Linked DNA regions of Sus scrofa. The protein of the gene in region 2 interacts with the protein of the main gene of each other region in a pairwise test. Links are inferred from orthologs where the notes say so. Each region holds a gene or a part of one and is shown on either strand. Other genes may lie near its edges. The genes, in order: RASA1 and DLC1.

What was found.
Region 1: the proteins of DLC1 (region 2) and RASA1 interact in binary tests that used the Homo sapiens proteins (3 or more experiments, as listed by UniProt). The link is inferred for Sus scrofa from reciprocal best matches to the Homo sapiens genes DLC1 and RASA1.

What each region holds. Positions count from the first base shown.
Region 1 is NC_010444.4:94,974,523-94,984,049, reverse strand, and holds part of RASA1 (ras GTPase-activating protein 1), read right to left. Parts: coding exon 9,445-9,527; intron 9,120-9,444; coding exon 8,960-9,119; intron 6,959-8,959; coding exon 6,816-6,958; intron 4,910-6,815; coding exon 4,794-4,909; intron 4,045-4,793; coding exon 3,958-4,044; intron 3,113-3,957; exon of another isoform or gene 1,391-3,112; coding exon 1,323-1,390; exon of another isoform or gene 1-1,322. UniProt on the Homo sapiens protein: Inhibitory regulator of the Ras-cyclic AMP pathway. Stimulates the GTPase of normal but not oncogenic Ras p21; this stimulation may be further increased in the presence of NCK1.
Region 2 is NC_010459.5:1,630,376-1,640,677, forward strand, and holds the start of DLC1 (rho GTPase-activating protein 7), read right to left. Parts: upstream 6,796-10,302; 5' UTR 6,674-6,795; intron 1-6,673. UniProt on the Homo sapiens protein: Functions as a GTPase-activating protein for the small GTPases RHOA, RHOB, RHOC and CDC42, terminating their downstream signaling.

The DNA.
Region 1 (9,527 bases), on a different chromosome or scaffold from region 2:
ATTTTACTTTTACTTATTTTTATGGCCACATTTGCAGCATATGGAACTTCGCAGGCCAGAGATGAATCTCAGCTGCAGCTGCAGATGCAGCCTACACTACAGCTGCAGCAATGTGCAATATTTAACCCACTATGCCAGGCTGGGGATCAAACTCATGCCACCAAAGAACACTGGATCCTTAATCTGCTGCACCACAGCAAGAACTACTGACTGCCTGATTTTAAATTGTACTCTTTTCATCTTAAACTGCTAGACTACAAACAGTATTGCTTAGTGGTTCAGATCCAACATTCAGATAAATAAATCTCTCCACAAGAATTCAAAACCCTTAATTCTTAAACCATAAATATAACCATTTTAGTAGTAATAGGATGAGAGGTGATGTCTATAAAGATAAAATAAGATATTCTAAAAAAATCTTAATACAATTTTGAGCTTCAAATTATTAAGACAAAAATGCTTCAGATTCCTTCTGCTAATAATGTGGTCACAAATATTCTTATCCTTTCTGTGAAATAAGCCTGCAGTAACATGTAGAAGTTCATAATGGGCATATGGGTAAAAAGCAAAACCAAATTTGGTTTGGAGAATAAAATGCTAATTAACATTAGACATTAGGTGACAAGAAATCTCTACTGTGAAACCTCAAAGGGCTACTTTCTTCCTAAGTATTCAGAGTACTATTATAAATGCAGCTGTAATTTACATAGGGAGGTTCTCAGGCTAGGGGTCAAATTGAAGTTGTATGACACACCCACTGTGATGCAGGATCCAAGCCGAGTGGAGTCTGCAGCTTACACCAAAACTGGCAACACCAGATACTTAAACCACTGAGAGAGGCCAGGGATTTGAACCCACATCCTAATGGATATTAGTTGGGTTCACTGCCACTGAGCCACAATGGGAACTCCTGCAGCTATAATTTTATTTTGATTCTAAAATCCAACTTGCAGTGGTAGTGTACAGGGTCTAGCATAGGCTAAAGGCTCATAGAAAGCTGTTCATCCCAACTTGAAAAAGCCACACTGCAGACTAGAAAAACTCATCATAGGAACTGAGACACAGGTGGGGATGGGAAAAAAATGGTAGGTGTATAATCATGCCTTCTCAGGCTTCAGTTGCTTTAGAGAAAGAAAGGAAAGAAGCACAATTAAAAAAATAATAAGGTAAGCCAAAAGTAGAATAGGGTGCTTTGGAATGTTTTAAACCAAGTCTTAGATTTGGATAAGAAAAGCAGATTTAAAAGAGAAGAAAATGAAGTAAACTCACTAAAGAATATGACATTTTTTTTTTAATTTCAAAATTTATCAGAAGTTGATTACCTGAGATGATATTAAACATCCGTGGATTCAGGATGGCAGGACAGATAAGTCGAAGAAAAACAAAACCACTGAATGGGAGGGAAATGTTGGGGTTTTTTTAGATAACCACTATAATATGTATTACATTAAAATAATAAAAATTACAATACTTGTAGAACCATGAACTTTGAACTAATCTATGGAAGGCCAAATAAAGCTTTATAAAAATAATAAGCTAAAGTATTTTGCAATAAGAACATATATCTGCATCTTAAACATTCATTTTCTTCAAATTTAGAATTTTAAATTTACTTTGGGAAGACCTAAGTTATATCTGTTAGCATTTATTGTCTTGGCTAATATTTATTTACTCCAAGGTAGTACAGCCTTTTATACTTACTTTGAAGAAAGTGTTTAGAAACACTAAGGCCTTCTGGGAGTACAAATAAACCTTTTTAATAGATACATAATCCTGTAAGGTCGGAAAACTAACATTTTCTCACTTCTTTCTTTTCTTTAAACAGAACAGCTCAGTAAAGTCCATTATAAATCACACTGGTTATACAGATTTTGTGTTATTTAAAATTTAAGAATCCACTGTACTAGGGAAAAAGTGACTTCCTGATAAATGAAAATGTATACAGCAGTATGCTGAAAAGCTTTTAAAGTGATAAAAAGACATTAAGCTTTCCAAATTAAAATTTTTTCATATTCCAAAATATTAATAGCAAAAACAAAAACTAATTTAAAAGCACATGGCTTAACAATAGTTGTCATACATGATTTTACCTGCTAATCTCTCTCCTGGGAATGCAGTACAAAATAAATCTACAAGCTTACATATCTATTCCTAGTCTGCCCCTTTTAGTTACTGGTACAGTTTATGTCCTTATGTAGAAAATATTTCTCTAACTTCCTCTTCAGAAGAATCCACACTAGTAATTGACCTTTCACCTGCCCTACGTAAAAGACAAGCATTATTTTCAAGGTGACAGAATTCCTTTTAGAGATTAAAATAGTTGACAGAGTCTCTGTTCTCTGTTAGAGTGAATAACCCAACTTCTCAGCATTTAACTTTCCAACAATGCTGTTTGCTAATTTTGGGAAATCTTAGGAAATTAATGCTGCTTCTCAAATAGCATTTATTCCCAATTATACAATTAAGTCTTTAAACAGATATCTTTTAAATTACTTATGAAAAATATTACATAAAATTTGCTTGAAAACACTTGTGATACCTAAATAGGTCTTTGAATTTGAAATATAGTCTAGCAACAATGAACCGTAAGATTTCAGTGTGTGAACCTACTTTCTGTGAATTTTTAGAGGTGATTTGAAATCTAAGAGGAAAATTAGGTTTCTACACATATATTTAAAAGCTTAATCACCACCTTGGCCATAAATGCTCCCTTAAAAAATCCTATAGTATCAAACAATCCACATAGCAGAGTTTCCTGCTTTTTGCTTAACAATTATACTTGTTTGAAACTTACAGAACAGTTTTCATTTACATCACACAAAACTGTTGAAACATATGTTTATAATTCTTTTCTATTTTTCAATCACTACTAAAGGCAGGAAGTACAGAATCTCTAATTCTTAAATATTTAGGTCACATCATTATTAACCAAGAGAGATTTAATCTGTAAAAAAGAATAGAAGCTTCTTTGCAAAATTTAGGTTGGGGACAGGATTAACACACATTTTCAAAACTAATTACACGACCATCAGTAGCTGCCTAATTGTATTTTATGGTATAACATGACGGGAAGCATATATTCTTTATAATAAATTATTATTAGACTGCTGTATTCTCTGATGTTTTTGCACTGATTTCCTATCTTGAATGGGTTAAGGTGTGCTTAACAAAAGCCTGCAAGAGGGTCAAGGTTATTAGATTGGGATTTACAAAATCCACCATTAGTTCTGCCTTAGCCACTAATTTTCTGTGTAACCTGAAGCAAACAACTTACAAGCAAGCAACTCTACAGATTTGCCTCCTCACTGGCAAAGTTAAAATCGTGATAATGAAGTCTTCCTATATAAGCTACAAACTTTTATGACTTGACAAAGCAATTCCTAATTACTGTACAATGAACACACTGAAACACAGCTTCAGAACTATAGATTCTGGTTTGAGATTAGCCCCAAGTGACAGACTGTTGCAAATCAATATCTAAATGGTTCAATTATGGCTCTTCCTTCTTAACACAAATCAATCTTTTTCTCTTTCCCCCCGCCTCTGTCTTTCTATATATATCTATGTATGTATACACATCTATGCATGTATATATGTCTGTATGAAAGTTTCTACATGAAGTTAGCTACAGATTTTAGATTTTGTTGGTTTCATGACTTTTAACCTCATTCTGTAAGGTAAAAGAATCCCAAATAGTTAACTGAATATAAATTAATGTTCACGTTTTTAGAAAGTGCAAAAAGTAGCTAGCTAAGTATCATGGTAACTTAAAAAAAACAAAACAGTAAAAGTTTAGGAGCTAGCTCAATTCAGAAAATATTCAGTGGGGCTCTGACATAAAAGTAGAAGAAAAAGTCTTGAATTGCATAATATATATTGTTGGTCTTCAAATTTTCACATATCCACTTGACTATAAGTACATACTATACAATCATTTAACAAACTGACAAGCCTTACCTAACAACTCTTGTTCTCATGGTGGTATTTGTAGGCCACTTGTGCTGGACAGATTTCTGTAAACACCCATAAATATATCTCAGTGTCCTGCCAAAATAACACAGTCATCTCAATACAGAAAATAAATGAAAATAATGATCACATTGCAGCCAAAAGCTTAATTTATCAAGTACATGATATTTTTTAATGCAACTGGCCTTTTTCCCAAAACAGAACTCTGCTGCAAAACATTTGGCAAAGGATAAAACTTTTTAAAAGTTTTCATCATCAATTCATTTGGCCAATTCTTTACATTTACTTTGGAGGACATCCTACCATTTTTAGATTACTTCTGTATTAATGAAAAGCATGAAAAAGTATTGCAATGAGGATACAGAGGAACTAATGAGTACAGAGTCCAGTGAGACAGACTTTGATATAAGTTAACTTTCAACTGATTGAGTTCACTAACATTGGAAGCCATTAAGCAGATATTAATTTTCTTGTGTACATTTTGAGCAAGATATTCAACTACAGACTGAAGAAATACATCTCTTTTATAATCTCTTTGAATCTGAGACTCTAAGTCTCTATTCATTCTCCAAGTCATGAGATAAACCAGACATACTGGCCTATATAAAAACATGATTTGTTTTATTTTAATGTAAATATTTAACTTTGGTTTCTTCAAGTCACTCTTTTTCCTTGAACACAATTCATTATGTAAAGATTAAAAACTCTAACTTTTCAGAGTATAATAACATCACAATAGTAGAAAAGCTTACATGTTTTAGAAATACAAAATTTTTAAGAGGCAGGTATACTATTTCTTGTCAAATTAAAATTTCACCACTTACGGTGGAAGTATTTCTGAAGCCATGAATATTTTCTCCACAAGCTCTGAAAGTATGTTCAATAGGTGTGCTAAATTAGTGTTCACATCTTCATTTTTTTCTAACTTTGATGGACTTAACTAAGAGAAGGAATAAATCAATATAAATGCATCTTGGCAATCATAAAAATCAAGATAAACAGTCGTTTTCAAGGTTCTCCATTATTCATTCTGTATTCGTCTTGGTGGTAGAGGAATGGGGATAAATGAGAATTTTTTTTTTATTATTTTATTTTAATTGTTTTTAGGGCCACACCTGCAGCATATGGAGGTTCCCAGACTAGGGGTTGAATCGGAGCTGTAGCCACTGGCCTCCACCACAGCCACAGCCACATCAGATCTAAGCAGCGTCTGCAACCTACACCAGGGCTCACAACGCCAATCCTCAACCTGTGAGCTAGGCTAGGGATTGAACCTGCATCATCATGGATGCTAGTCAGATTAGTTTATGCTCAGCCATGACAGGAACACTGAGAATTTCAAATAGTTTGCTGTATGGAATTCTTAATGGGCTTGTTACCATTAATTCATAATTATTCCACTAAAAACTGAGTAGTATTAAACCATTTTCATTTTTTTTTTGAGGGGTTAATACCATCAATAAAGTTTTCTTTTATTCATTTACCATGTTTTACCATAGATTTTTACAGGCATACAAACTGTTTTAGACTTCAGTTTAAATGTAATATTCCCAACTAGAAGACAAAAAATCCAGTTTCAGTGGCCACATATTCACAGATACACTACAGAGCATTTAAATGGGAAGAAAGATCACCACATATCATTATAAAATCTTAATTCTATTTGAAAACTGATTAGAGAGGTTTTTCTGAATAAGATTTAAGTGACTAATAAAATACCAATGCCTCAGGCAGAATCATGAACCTTTTCCAAAATGTTCCAATAACTTTTGAAATTTAAGAATTCTGATCTGGAATCAATGGGGTAGATTTATTCACAGGAATCTAAAGTCACTAGCCTGGATTCAACATCCAGAGACTGCGGACTTGCTACATTTCTGTATTCTTTACAGTCAGGCCAACTATGGTGTTAAGTCTACATCTGACAACTTAATGCAGAATTAACATTTACTGCACCCAGTGAACATTATCAAAAGTAGTTATTTTATTAATTTTATATCAGATCTAAAAAATATACTTAATATCCTCCTCAAGAGTTCCCATTGTGGCTCAGCAGGTTAAGAACCCAAATAGTATCCATGAGGATATGAGTTTGATCCCTGGCCTCATTCAGAGTGTTAAGGATCCAGCATTGACACAAGCTACGGTGTAGTTTGCAGATATCGCTTGGATCTGACATGGCTGTGGCACAGGCCGGCAGCTGCAGCTCTGATTCCACCCCAAGCCCAGGAACTTCTATATGCTGCAGCTGTGGCCCTAAAAAGAAAAAATATATATATCCTCCTTCTATAGTTGCTCTAACTTCAAAATAAAATGACAGAATAGCCATATAAGTGAGATTTTACTCCTTATGGTAATGGTTCGTTATGAATCTTCAGTGAAGCCTTATCCTAAAAGGATGTTTTTATTTGCTTTTGAGGAGACTGTCTTGTACCTCTGACCTTCTCACCCCACCCCCCAAAAAATCTTCAAAGACAAACCTAGATGTTACTATCAAGTGCCACATACAACTTACACAATAGAAGTCTCAAACATAAATTTCAACTTATGCTAAGTATACTTTCTGAAAGTAGCATATACTTTTATCATTAGTACAGTATGAGAAATGATAAAGTACTTGCATGTATTTCTGGTGCAATTTGAGATTCTTAATCCACAAATAATGTACATCTTTTTTAAAAAGTCTGTTTTGCGTAACACTTTTCTAAATGTATTAGAAAAGGTTTAACTTCTCTGATGAATAGTTTCAGACAGGTAACATATTTTCCTTAAAGTGTAATTAGTTATAACACATTACCTATTTGAATATGCTCTTTCCTGAAATACTTACAACATTAAATACTCACCTCACAAGATTGCTTGCTTTCCATTATCTTTAAGATAGAGTCTTTCAAAGCATGATGAACAAACTGTGTAGCAGTGGCTTTCATATACTGCTCCATCAAGGTGCTTGCAAGTGTTGTGGCTCGAAATAGAGTAGTGGCTTCATCTACATAAATATATTAAAAGATTGTTTGTAAAGGATTGTATTAATGTGAACCAAATTGAAAATTAAATCAATTCATTTTTCCTCAACCAATTATCATTTAAACATGCTTATTTGCAATCAGCAATAAAGTATTGATTATACTGACATTCTATATTTCTATAAACATAATTCTTTAAAAGATCATAATTTATCCTTAATTCTTAATTAAATCTTAAATAATGAATTAAGATAAAGAATTAATTCTTGGAGTTCCCATCGTGGCTCAGAGGAATGAATCTGACTAGCACCCATGAGGACACAGGTTCAATCCCTGGCCTCAGTCAGTGGGTTAAGGATCTGGCAATTCCATGAGCTATGGTTTAGGTAGTAGATGCAGTTCGGATCCCACGTTGCTGTGGCTGTGGTGTAGGCCAGCGGCTATAGCTCTGATTTGACCCTTAGCCTGGGAACCTCTATATGCCACGGGTCCGGCCCTAAAAAGACAATAAATAAATAAATAAATAAATAAATTCTTAATCTTCATTAGATCATAAACAGGAGAGGAATTAACACTGCCATGTTCATATCACAAAACAAAGAGTTGGAGTTCCTGTTGTCGCTCAGTGGGTTAAGAATCAGACCTGTATCCATGAGGATGCAGTTTCCATCCCTGACCTTGCTCAGTGGTTTAAGGATCTGGTGTTGCCGCAAGCTGTAGAGTGGGTCACAGATGTGGCTCAGATCCTGTGTTGCCCTGGCTGTGGCTCAGGCCAGCACCTGCAGCTCCAATTTGACCCCTAGCCTAGGAACTTCCATATACTACTGCAGGTGCGGCCCTAAAAAGTTATAAAAAATAAAATCTCTAAGTTAATCTTAAAAAAAAAAGAAAAAACCAAAAACTTTTGAAAGTGATATAACTTATCATCTAGGACTAAAGAACCAAATAGTGACAAAACTTAGCGCCAGAATGTAGCTTTTTCTTTCTACTGAGCTCATGCTTTAAAAAAAATCTGAGCTAATTTCCAAGCAAGAATGCACAATAAAATCCCAGTATAAATTAACTTATTAGCCTAAGCATAGCTATTAATGACATTAGTAAAATCCTAAAAAATGCAAGTATTACCAGAAAAGACAATCTTAATGCAAAACATGTACCACCACTTTATCTTTCCTGACAAATATATATATTTTTACATTTTTTTATGACTAGGAGGAAATAGTTCTGGGTATTACAGTTTATTTGGGGAATCCAGAAGCAAGGACTATTACTGAGTCAAAGTGCTGGTTGTAAATCCCTTTTTATAACATATTTATAAGCTGTTACAAAGATCGTGTCCAGCTATACTGCCTAGAACTACCTATCATAGAAGCTAGAAATAAAATGCAGACACCTAACTTGTACAATGAATTTTTAAATGAAAAATAAACAAGAGAATATGGAAATAGCCAAACTTCTTAATAATCAAGCACTGTGAACCATTGATCTGGACATGGAAGTCACTTTCTTATAGCACCTAATACTAATTTGCCATGACAGAAACTTGTATTTGAAATACTAACAGCAGTTCCTGTGGTGGCTCAGTAGTTAACGAATCTGACTAGGAACCATGAGGTTGTGGGTTCGATCCCTGGCCTCGCTCAGTGGGTTAAGGATCTGGTGTTGCCGTGAGCTGTGGAGTACGTCACAGACGCGGCTCGTATCCCACGTCGCTGTGGCTCTGGCATAGGCCGGCAGCTACAGCTCCAATTAGACCCCTAGCCTGGAAACCTCCATATTCTGAGGGTGTAGCCCTAGAAAAGACAAAAAAGAAAAAGAAATAATAGCTGCTCCCCATTAGCCAGCATAAAGAATCAGAAATGACATTCCAACTGTAATTTTTAAAGAAGGAAAAACAGTAACTTACTTTGTAAGATAATTTAACTATTTAATATAGTCTAAGATGGAGTCTGTATATACTTGATATATATAAAACCTATTAATCCAATTTTTAAAAGTATCACAGAAACACATCCATACTATACCTTCCATGCTTATTTCTCTGTCATTTAGTGTACATAACAACAAGGATTCAAGCTTTTCATGAAGAAAAATCCTCAGTAGGATGCTAGCCAGTAGTGTTCGATCCTGTCCACATACATGTGATAAAGCATTGACTACATGAAGCTCCTTTTGCAGTATAAGCTAAAAATGACATCAGGAAAAATAATTGAAAGTAAGAGAGCATTAAGCATTCTCAGATTAACAGGAAATTATGTTTTTATACATTCTTATATTTAGGAATATGTTCTATTGAATAAATGTATTAAAAATAGAATGAGTTTGTAAGCTACATATTTATAGTCTCTTAAGACCAATAGCATACTGCTGCACGGCTTTTTAACCTTCTCTGCCTGTCAGTGTGCCATTAAACTATGAAATTACTACATTTAACTCAATGGATCTTTCATTAAAAGTATTTCTTGCTAATGCCATTAAAAACAATTAGACTAGTAAATAACTTTAATACCTCTTTAAATTCGCTGTATTCTTCTTCTGGCATGATTTTTTCCATAGAATATCGTGCTCGGACACGCAGAGATCCTGGTTCAA
Region 2 (10,302 bases):
GTTGCCTGGTTCCATGAATGAATTAAAATTTTGAAAATAATTTTGAAATATCATTGCAAAATTAAAATTTCATTTTATATAGAAAATATGAGATTTTGGTATAGAATATTAATATAAAAATGACCTATATATATGGCTATACTCTAAGAAAAATTATAGCCTTCATTGCTTCTGTAACTGAAATGTAACTGCAAATAAATCAAACTATTTCACTTAAGTACCTAAAGACATAAGGCAAAGGGAAGTAGCAGAAGTAAATTAGCACAGATGAACCATGAAAATTGTGAATTAGAAAACAAACCTACTGAAGAGTCTGCTTCCATAGAAAGATCAATGATAAAAATATCCCCATTGTGTGTGATTAAGACAAAAAAGAAAAAATATGACATAGGAATTATAAACCTAGATACATTCACAATTGTAGGAATGATTAAAGAATTATGACGATCATTATGTTAATCTCATGTCACTGATTTTTCACATTCAACAAAATGGGTAACATCATAGAACAATAACAAATAACAAAAATCTTTTTGAAAGATACAAGTGAACTTTGTGCTGAACAGAAACAGACTCACAGACTTTGAAAATAAACTTTTGGTTACCAAAGTGGACAGGTGGGGGTGGGGGTGGGATAGACTGGGAGTATGGGACTGGCATATGCACACTGAGGTATATGGAATAATTGGCTAATGGAGACCTACCACATAGCACAGAGAATTCTACGCAATATTCTGTGATAACCTATGTGGGAAAAGAATCTGAAAGAGAATGGATACGTGCATGTATAACTGAATCACTTTCTTGTACAGCAGAAATTATCACAACATTGTAAATCACCTATTATACTTCAATAAAACTTTAAAAAGTGAAGAAAATTGAAATTGACTTAAATAGAAGAAAATTTGTACAAATTAAGACCTATGGGAAAAATTTGTTAATTATTTATTGCTAAAATAGAAATTAGGCTCAGATGGTTCCTTCTAACATTTTTATATTTGGCAAAATATTCCAGATTACAAAAGGATAGAAAGTGTCTTACCTTCTTTTACAACTTTATTATCAAATCTGATGAAGGCAAGAGTAAAAGATTAACCAAGAGCATAAATATCTGTGAATAAACTATAAAACCTGAGACTTATTCTCCCAGAATATTACAAAAAGCTGCTGAGACAATAACAAGTATCTAAATAAACAGACACATATACCAAATACATGAATTAGAAGACCCAATGTAGTCATGCCTACTCTAGCCAAATTAAAATATAAATTCAGCCCTAATAAAAATCTCTCTTTTGGTAGAAATTGACCAGGTGATTCTAAATTGGGAGACATAAAGGTCCTTAAATGGCCAGGACAATTTTTAAGAAAGAAAAAGCATTATAAAAATCTTACATAATAAGTAAAATGTACAGTTGAGAAAGGAAAACAAATCTCTAAGTATGTGTGTATCAGTTTGCATGACATGTGAGCTTACTGGACAAATTGATTCAGGTTAAACATCCAATCCTCATTTTGTTCACCATTCTCCACTGAGCCTTGCCTGAATCTGAGGCTCAATCTGTTTTTATTACTTGGGAAAAACTGACAAGGTGGAAGTACCTCAAGAAACTTAAACTTGAAAAATCAGCAGGAAACATGCTTTTCTCCATTTAGGAGTTATTCCAAACATTCAGACTATGAGGGGCCCCACATTACATAATACTCAATTCTTTATGGATTTGTATTTAAGTAAGGAGACATACCTGTGAGGAGACGTACCTGCATCTCTGACAATCTCTCTCTTAATTTATAGACCCTTTCAAGTCAAGGGTTGTATAGAATTTAATGATTGAAACCTAGTAAGAAGAAGTGAATTAAAGAATTCCTAGAGGAAATTAAAACCTAAAGTAATTAAAATATCTCACAAGGCTCAGTAATCAACAGTCCTACTTAAAGACTGTATACAGTTATTCATGTTATCTGAACCCAAGAAAATTAGCTACAACTGGAGTTTATAAGGAAATTTGAAAATAACTCAACATGAAATAAATTTTGCATTTTCTGTCAATTACTAGCACAACCCTCAAGCCGTCATCTTCACTTAAATCAGAAAGTAGCACAAACATAGTTAAAATGAAGGCAAAGTGGCAACATAAAAATATACCATAGCATTCTTGGACAATATTACTTTTATTCCTAATAGAAGTTTCTTTTCATTTTTATGCCTTTCAAAACTTTAGGCAGGTAGAGAGTTCTTTTTATTAAAGTAAACTTGTTTTAACATAAGATCATAAGACTGCCACAAATAGCATCCAAAATGAAGTTCATTCTCATTAATTTTACTTTCATGTTGTGTACATATACAGTTATAATCATCAACTCAAGGTCTTTATTTGTGTATATTTGCCTATTCACGGTGTAAAATCTTTTTACTCCAAATGGAGTATTCTCATTTTTACAGGTAATATCCATTTTATAAAATCCTCATGGATATTTTCCCAGTTTGTTACATTTCATTCTTCACTTGTTCAGTACTTTCTAATAAATAGATATTCATTTATCTTGAGTCTCATCCATTTTTAAAAACGGGTCTCCATTTTCATCCAGTCTCTCAAGATAAAGCCATGTGCACTCCTCCTGAATCACAGTCTTCTCCCCTTTAATGTTATTATAGGTATGGCAGCCTCAAGCAGCTGTTATACAACACACAACTTTGCACTAGGCCTGCCTGTTTTAGTTTCAATAATCAGGTTTCTGACTAGCTCTTGAGCTCAAATTCCCATATGCTGTCTTATGCCTTAATGCATAAGTTCCTGGCTGATAAAACTATCAGTTAAATATTCTATCCATTTGATCCCATGGATGATAGAACTTTCAAATAAATGCGGGTGTTTTAGCCTGGGAGCCACATTTGTCAGACTGCTAGAGATCGGACAAACATTACTTTTCAAGCTATGTGCCCTCTTTTTGATTTCTGTCATTGCTATAAGCAATTTAATTTGTAAGGAGGAGTCCCCGTTGTGGCACAGTGGAAATGAATCCAACCAGGAACCATGAGGTTGCAGGTTCGATCCCTGGCCTCACTCAGTGGTTAAGGATCTGGTATTGCCATGAGCTGTGGTGTAGACTGCAGATACGGCTTGGATTTGGCGTTGCCGTGGCTGTGGTGTAGGCAGGTAGCAACAGCTTTGATTAGACCCCTGGCCTGGGAACCTCCATAGGCCGCGAGTGCGGCCCTGAAAAGACAAAAAAAAAAAAAAAATTTGTAGGGAAGCACTTGTTAGAATTATCAGGCTAACAATATGAAGCTAGCATATGAGATGGGAACTGGGGTAACTTGGCTAAGTGTCCAGTGAAGAGTGAGAGTTAATAGGACAAAGAAACAAGAAAAAAGAGAAAAGGAAGTAGAGGAACAAATTGGGTGTGCATTTTCTAGGAAATCTAAGAGATTCAATTTTTACTATATATAATTTCAAGTTGTAGAAACTGCATTTATATACAAGAAACAAATGTACTTTGATGATTTTGCTAGCTAAGTAACCTAGAAGTAAAATTCATAATTTGTGTTATTTTCCCTTAAGTATTTTTTGGGGGCACACTTTTTTTCAGAATTAACTTTATGTTTTTACATTTCAGATTAAAGTAATAAGACATTGAGCAGCAGTGACTGCTGACATCACAAAAAGGAAAACAACCACAAATTAAGTGCCTCCTCATGGAAGGTCACCACTCTAACTGAAGTTCCTGGCCAAGAAACTGAATCCGAATCTGAGAAATTCTCTAGTCCCAAGTACCAATCGAGAAAAAAACATGGAAGGCAGAAAAATCCATGAAACTACACCATGGTACTACAATCAGCAAGGTCTAAATTGGGAAATTCTACAGGACAAAAATTCAGGGTTTTTTTCCAACAAGGCGCAAGGAAAAAACAACTCCGGAGAATCTGTAGATCAACCTTTCCTACCCCCAACCATCAATCAATTGCCATGTGTGAGGTTTATTTGGATCCTAACTTTTTTAAATATAAAGAAACAAAGACATTTGGGAGATTATAGAATATTCATACACTTACTATATATTTGGCGTTATTAAGGATTTTTTTTTTAAACCGTGATCATGGTACTGTACTGTTTTATTTATTTTCATTTTTATTTTTTTTGTCTCTTTAGGACTGCAGATGTGGCATAGGGAAGTTCCCAGGCTAGGGGTCGAATCCTAGCTGTAGCTGCTGGCCTACACCACAGCTACAGCAATGCCAGATCCAAGCCACATCTGTGACCTACACCACAAGCTGACAGCAATGCTGGATCCTTATCCCACTGAGCAAGGTCAGGGATCAAACTTGCATCCTCATGGATAATAGATTTGTTTCCGCTGAGTCACGATGGGAACTCCATGGTACTGTACTATTTTAAAGATGAGAGCTTATTTTTTAGGGAAGCATACATATGAAATGACATGCTGTCTAAAATTACTCTAACATAACATGGGAATTAGGATAAATTGAAGGGACTGTGTATGAAATAAGAATGGTCATATGTGTTCACTGTTAATGCTTGGTCCTAGGTACCTAGAAATTCATTAACCTGCTCTGTTTTTATAAATGTTTAAAATTCATCATAGTTTTTTTTAAGTTAGGCCAAAATAAAAGAATTTTCAGATTATTGAACAAATTAAACTAAACTAAAATTAAATAAACGTTTTCAAATTTCTATTATTTCCCGATTTTGGCTATAAATTTTCCAGTTCTGTGAAGGTTTTGGATTCTCTGCCTTATTTTAAAAGTTTGTGGAGTTCCCATTGTGGCTTGGTGGTAATGAATCGACTAGTATCCATGAGTTTGTGAGTTTGATCCCAGGCCCTGCTCAGTGGGTTAAGGATCCTACGTTACTGTGAGCTGGGTGTAGGTCACAGACGTGGCTCTGATTGGGTGTTTGCTGTGGCATAGACCAGCAGCTATAGCTCTGGTTCGACCCCCTAGCCTGGGAACTTCCATATGCTATGGGTGTTGCCCTAAAAAGCAATAAATAAATAAATAAATTTCTTTACATAAGAGCATCTGTGGCCAATTTATTTGTCATCAGATCATGTCCATATGTAATGATAATGTAACCAAATTTTAAAAGATAGATATTTTTGCTAGGTTGAAAACATATTTTAAGACATCAGAAATTAAGAGTTCTTAAGGCTTTTAGGTAGCAATACCTTAGACAAAACATCTGCTAATATAATATAAAGTGAACATGATAATTTCAAGATAATGAATAAATTACATTGCTCAAAGAATAAGCAGTTTTGTTTAGTAAAATTCAAATTTTTTTCTTGCTCTGTAAATTGTAATAACTAATATTAAGAGAATGCAGATTAATACTTAACTTGCAATAATTTATTTTTATCTGTTAGAGATGCTATCAGAAAAAAGAACTTAGTTTTTCTCTTCAGGATGCTGATTTTCACTGTCACCCATTTGTATGTAAAGTTTTTAACATCATTCATTTGTTTATAAGTCTTAACAATATTAAAAAAGTAATTAATATATACAATTCAGTGACCTAGTCAGAGTGTGATTGATGAGAATCAGTAATTATTTTCTTAAACAGAAGAGAAATTGTTTAATCAACAGAGAATTAATAAGACCATAATTAAGGTTTTATAAGATTAATCTGTAGTAATATTACCTTTCTTGTAAATTATAATAAATAATGTATTCAACATTAGACAAAAAAGATGCATAGTAAATTTTAGCTATTTATGCTAAAGGGTCCTATACTCTACATCCTATTGACAATTTAAATCTCCCCAGTCTAAATGTTCAGGACCTTTGCCCTGTTAGAAAATCAACTGAGTAAATGCAAGTGATTTTAAATTAAGGAGGCAGTGCAATTACTTTAGGAAAGAAAAAATTAACTTATCCATTAGCATTATAGGTTGCTGTAAGGGAAAATCAGGCTGTCTGTTCATTCAATTAACTCTCGACCTCAAGGTAACTGATCATTTCATTTGTAACATTGTTGATTAAGCAGCTCTGAATTTTTAAAAAAGCTATGCCTTGGCAATACGTTTCTCTGGGATTACTTGGATCTATTTGGTACATTGGTTAATTATCAGAAGAAGTAAATGATTTATTTAAAAAATTTTGATCAAATCCATGAAAAAGTTTATGATAAAATAACACTATAAATTTATTTTTCTAGTCAAAATAACTTTAAACATATATGAATACTATTTCAAAATACAATGATAATCTTATATCTATACTGAAATTATTCAATAGAGTAACAGAAACAAAAACAAAAATGAAAATGTGTATCACAAATAATAGCATCTGCTTTCAACACAATAAATATTTTCACTTTGAACTTTGTAGAGGAAATCATCTTTCCAAACAACTATACAACACAGCACTGCAGTTTTCACTTACTGTTAAGAATACATACTCCCATGAGAAAGCATTTCACATTTTTAGATGAATACAATTTCAGTCAATGCCAGAAAGTGACACTAAGCATCTTGAGGTTTTCCTAGGTATATTTAGTCTTAGGCATTTTTCTCTACTAATAGAACTTCATTTATGAGTAAACTATTTTGTTTCTGTTTTCGGAAACAATTTAACATGCAAACTGCTCACACAACAATGCACACAAATTGTTATATATGGTATTAAATATAAAGGGTGAAGTAAGGCTTTTACCTGGTAATCACCTGTGTCCCTCTGTCTGAAGCTGAGTAGAACAGATCCCCCGGCAGTGTCTTCTCTGATGATCAGAGTGAGGGCAGCCGCATTTGAAGGGGTGGGACTTGTCTTCAGCAATGAATTCCCAAGGGGCTGTTTCCAATCAGAGAATGCTACAGCAGACAATGAAACCATTCTCCATTTGTTGACCCTCGTTTTGTAAGTACAATCAGCTGTGGGTGTATTCAGGCATCAGTGGAGGAACTGACATAGATTTCACTGAGGTTTATGGTATGAAGAATATTTTGAAACAAGGATTACACGAAAATAAATTTGCTCTTTCCTTTCTTTGAAGTTTTTCCACTGTGTATTCATTTCTTCTCATGTTCTCCCATTGGGGTGCAAATCACAAAAAAGCTTAACCTCAAGCAGTATAATCTCTCACCCAATGAACCTGCCAAGTCCTCTGAAACACCACTTATGAATGTATACTGTGGTCTCTGCTGTGAAAATTTCTCTGAGGGAGGGGAATGGAGGGCTCCCTGCTTTGGGAGCCCCTTTATCCAACTAGGGACAGTGTTACCTGATAGAGATCCTATATATGATGGTTGTTTATGCCTAGTATTTTCACCATCATTGTGTGCAAACTCACACATCTCATTTCTGTGTTACAAATGTTACAAATCAGATAGCTTTGTTTGATTATCCCAGAGCTGCACTTGCTGAAAGTATTTTTCATATTGGTGTAGTTCTTCTAGTTTGTTTCAACACGTTCTACACCCAATTCTGTCACTTTCTTTTAAGTATATATGTAGACTCCAACAGCTCTCACCACTTTGACCTCTACTGCCCTGGCAGAGTTGACCACGAGCTCACCTTTCTAATGGGCATGCCTTTTTCTGCACCCTGGCCTCACAGTCTAGTCTCCATAATAGCAGCCTGGCTGGTGCTTTTAAAACCTGTCAGATCATGTCATTCTCCTAATCCTCCAATAAGGTCCTACTGTAATAATTGATCCTGAAATGTTCTAGTAATGTCCAATCTAATTTACAATAAAATAAAAATGGTTGGCGATGGCCTGTGATAGCTCAGTCCCTCACCGCAGCTCTGAACTTACATGCACTTTCTCTTGCATAGCCTGTCTTGCTCCTTGAACTCTAGGTGCCCAGATCTTCCTGCCATTCTTCAAAGGTGTCAAGGGCACTCCTGCCTCAGGAATTTGGATGTGCTAAATATTCTCCTGGAGGAGTCTATCCCAGATAGATTGCTCTGCTTTCAATTTTCAGTTCAAATGTCAGTTTAACTGTGGGATCCTCCTTGACTACCTTTAGATACAGTAAGTACACTTTCATCAAGCTCTCCTTATCTGGCTTTATTTTTTTCTTCATAGAGTTTAGTTATTTATATGCTTTGTTTACTAGTTAACTCATCCAACAGAATATAAACTCCCAGAGAAAGAGGACTTTGTTTTATTTACTGATGTATCTTAGCATCCTGAAAAGGCTTTTTGGAGTAGGTATTGAATAAATATTTTTTGATGAATTGATTATTAAGCTTTGCTTTTTCTTCCCTACTTTATAGAACATTCTAACAAATAGACTCTAATGAAATAAAAGAAATATCAGTCTATTCTCTTAATGACTTATGTTACTGTGATAATTATGTGATAGTTATGATAGTGTAACTATCAAATGTATCTTAAAATCCTAGAACCTAAAAATTCCTTACCATTCATCATGATTCATCATCGTTACCACGCTGGACTGTAATATGGTCCAGAATTGAACCTATCGATAATTTTCTTGGTCTCCTTTTATACTCACTCAATTGGCTTAATTATCTCTAGTATGAGAAAATATTCTCTACATAAAAACAGATTTATTTCCACAATCTCTCAGAAGATTCTGCAACGTTCTTCATAAGCCTTATTTTCTGCCTTAAGTTATGTGATGCTTTTTATGAAACACCTAATTTACTGTATGTCTTAATTTTTATCTCTCACAATAAAAATTTATTTCCCTATTCATTTCAGCAAAATCTCTACATCTATGTTAAAAGCTAAAGACTAGAAAAAGAGGTGTCAGTTTTGTGAAACAGCATATAAGTAAAGGCAGCTTTGCTCCCATTTAAAATGAGCCTTAACTTTTGAATTCTACCTTTAGTTAGCCCCTGTGGTTATTTCTAGACGATGTGAGGGAAAATGGTGCAACCAACATACAACTCTCAATTTGTGAAAGGTCTCTTCTAACAATTTGTAAATCTTCTAAAAGTTGTGCCAGGTCATAGATCAAGATATGAGAAGTGATGTGAGAGCAAATGTGTTAGAACTCAAGGTGTATAAAATGCATAGGATTGGGGTAGTTTCAGAATGCTTGGAATGTTTAGGTGTTTTAAACCAACTATATATTTTAGTTGGTTTAAAATATAGAGCAGTGTATTTGAGGTGGTTGTAAACTTGGTAAACCAATTGGAGAGTAAACAATACTAAAGTCCTAATTGTTTTAAAACAGGTTCCAAATGTTTTTGATTACATATTACTTTTAGGATTTTAGCAGGAACTGTCTATCTACCTTTTATCTATCTATCTATCTATCTATCTATCTATCTATCTATCTATCTATCTATCTATCTACCTACCTACCTACCTATATTTTAACATACTTATTCAAAGGGGATTTAAAGGGCAGATATTCAGAATATTTGACAGTATGCTTAGCTGAGGCAATAACTAAACAAAATCAGTGTTGTCCATAACCCTTGGAGCAGGGTCCCAGAGGCTCCTTACTTTGCTAGGCACCACCCTGATATGTTGGATTACAGAGACAGTGTCCCAGTGCTGAGCTGCATAAGGGCACTTAGGGCAATTGATGCAATAGTTAAGGACCAAATGGTTGGGAAGTGTTATGATATTTAATAAGCAGTATGGATACTTAAATTCTGTAAGCTCTGCATTTTTAAACTCCGCACCCACAAAGAAAACAAATTTAAAAGATGGAGTAGAGATAAAACAAAAATTGTGGTATCTGTGCACAATTATTAGCTAACTTTTCATCAGCCACAAGAAACTCTCAGAGCAAGGTTGCTTGTTAACATTGCTGGGGAGAAATTCATATTGCAAATAAGCTTTAAAGAATTTTTGGCTGTCAGATTTTACTGTGTAAATTTGCTGATGAAAGACACACATCTCAGCTTTGCCAAGTTCATATTGCTATTTTTGTCTGTGTTCTTCTTCCTCTTCTTTTTATTATTATTATATTCAATATATAGACAGTAATTGACCACTAAGATCAGTACAGAGATTTGAGAAGAAAAAATAAAAATATGGCTATCTTCTGGAAAAAAGAGATTGATTTTTCTGCTCTAATTGGACAGTGTGCCACTCTTGAAGCATCTGTTTACATTGCTTGTGATTGTATTATGTGACGTTTGCCTGATTTGGCTACTTGACTGTTCTAGGGGGTTGATGCCAGGAGGTCTTCATTTGTAAATTTGAGAACCTCTAGACCAGATAAAGAGCTCCTCAGGAAAAAGTCATTTTATCCATTGCTGTATACCCCAATCTTCATAAATCTTAGGCTATATACATCCCTTAATGACCGTTTCTTAAACAGAATTTTGTATTTCCTAATCTGTGTTACCAGGTATAG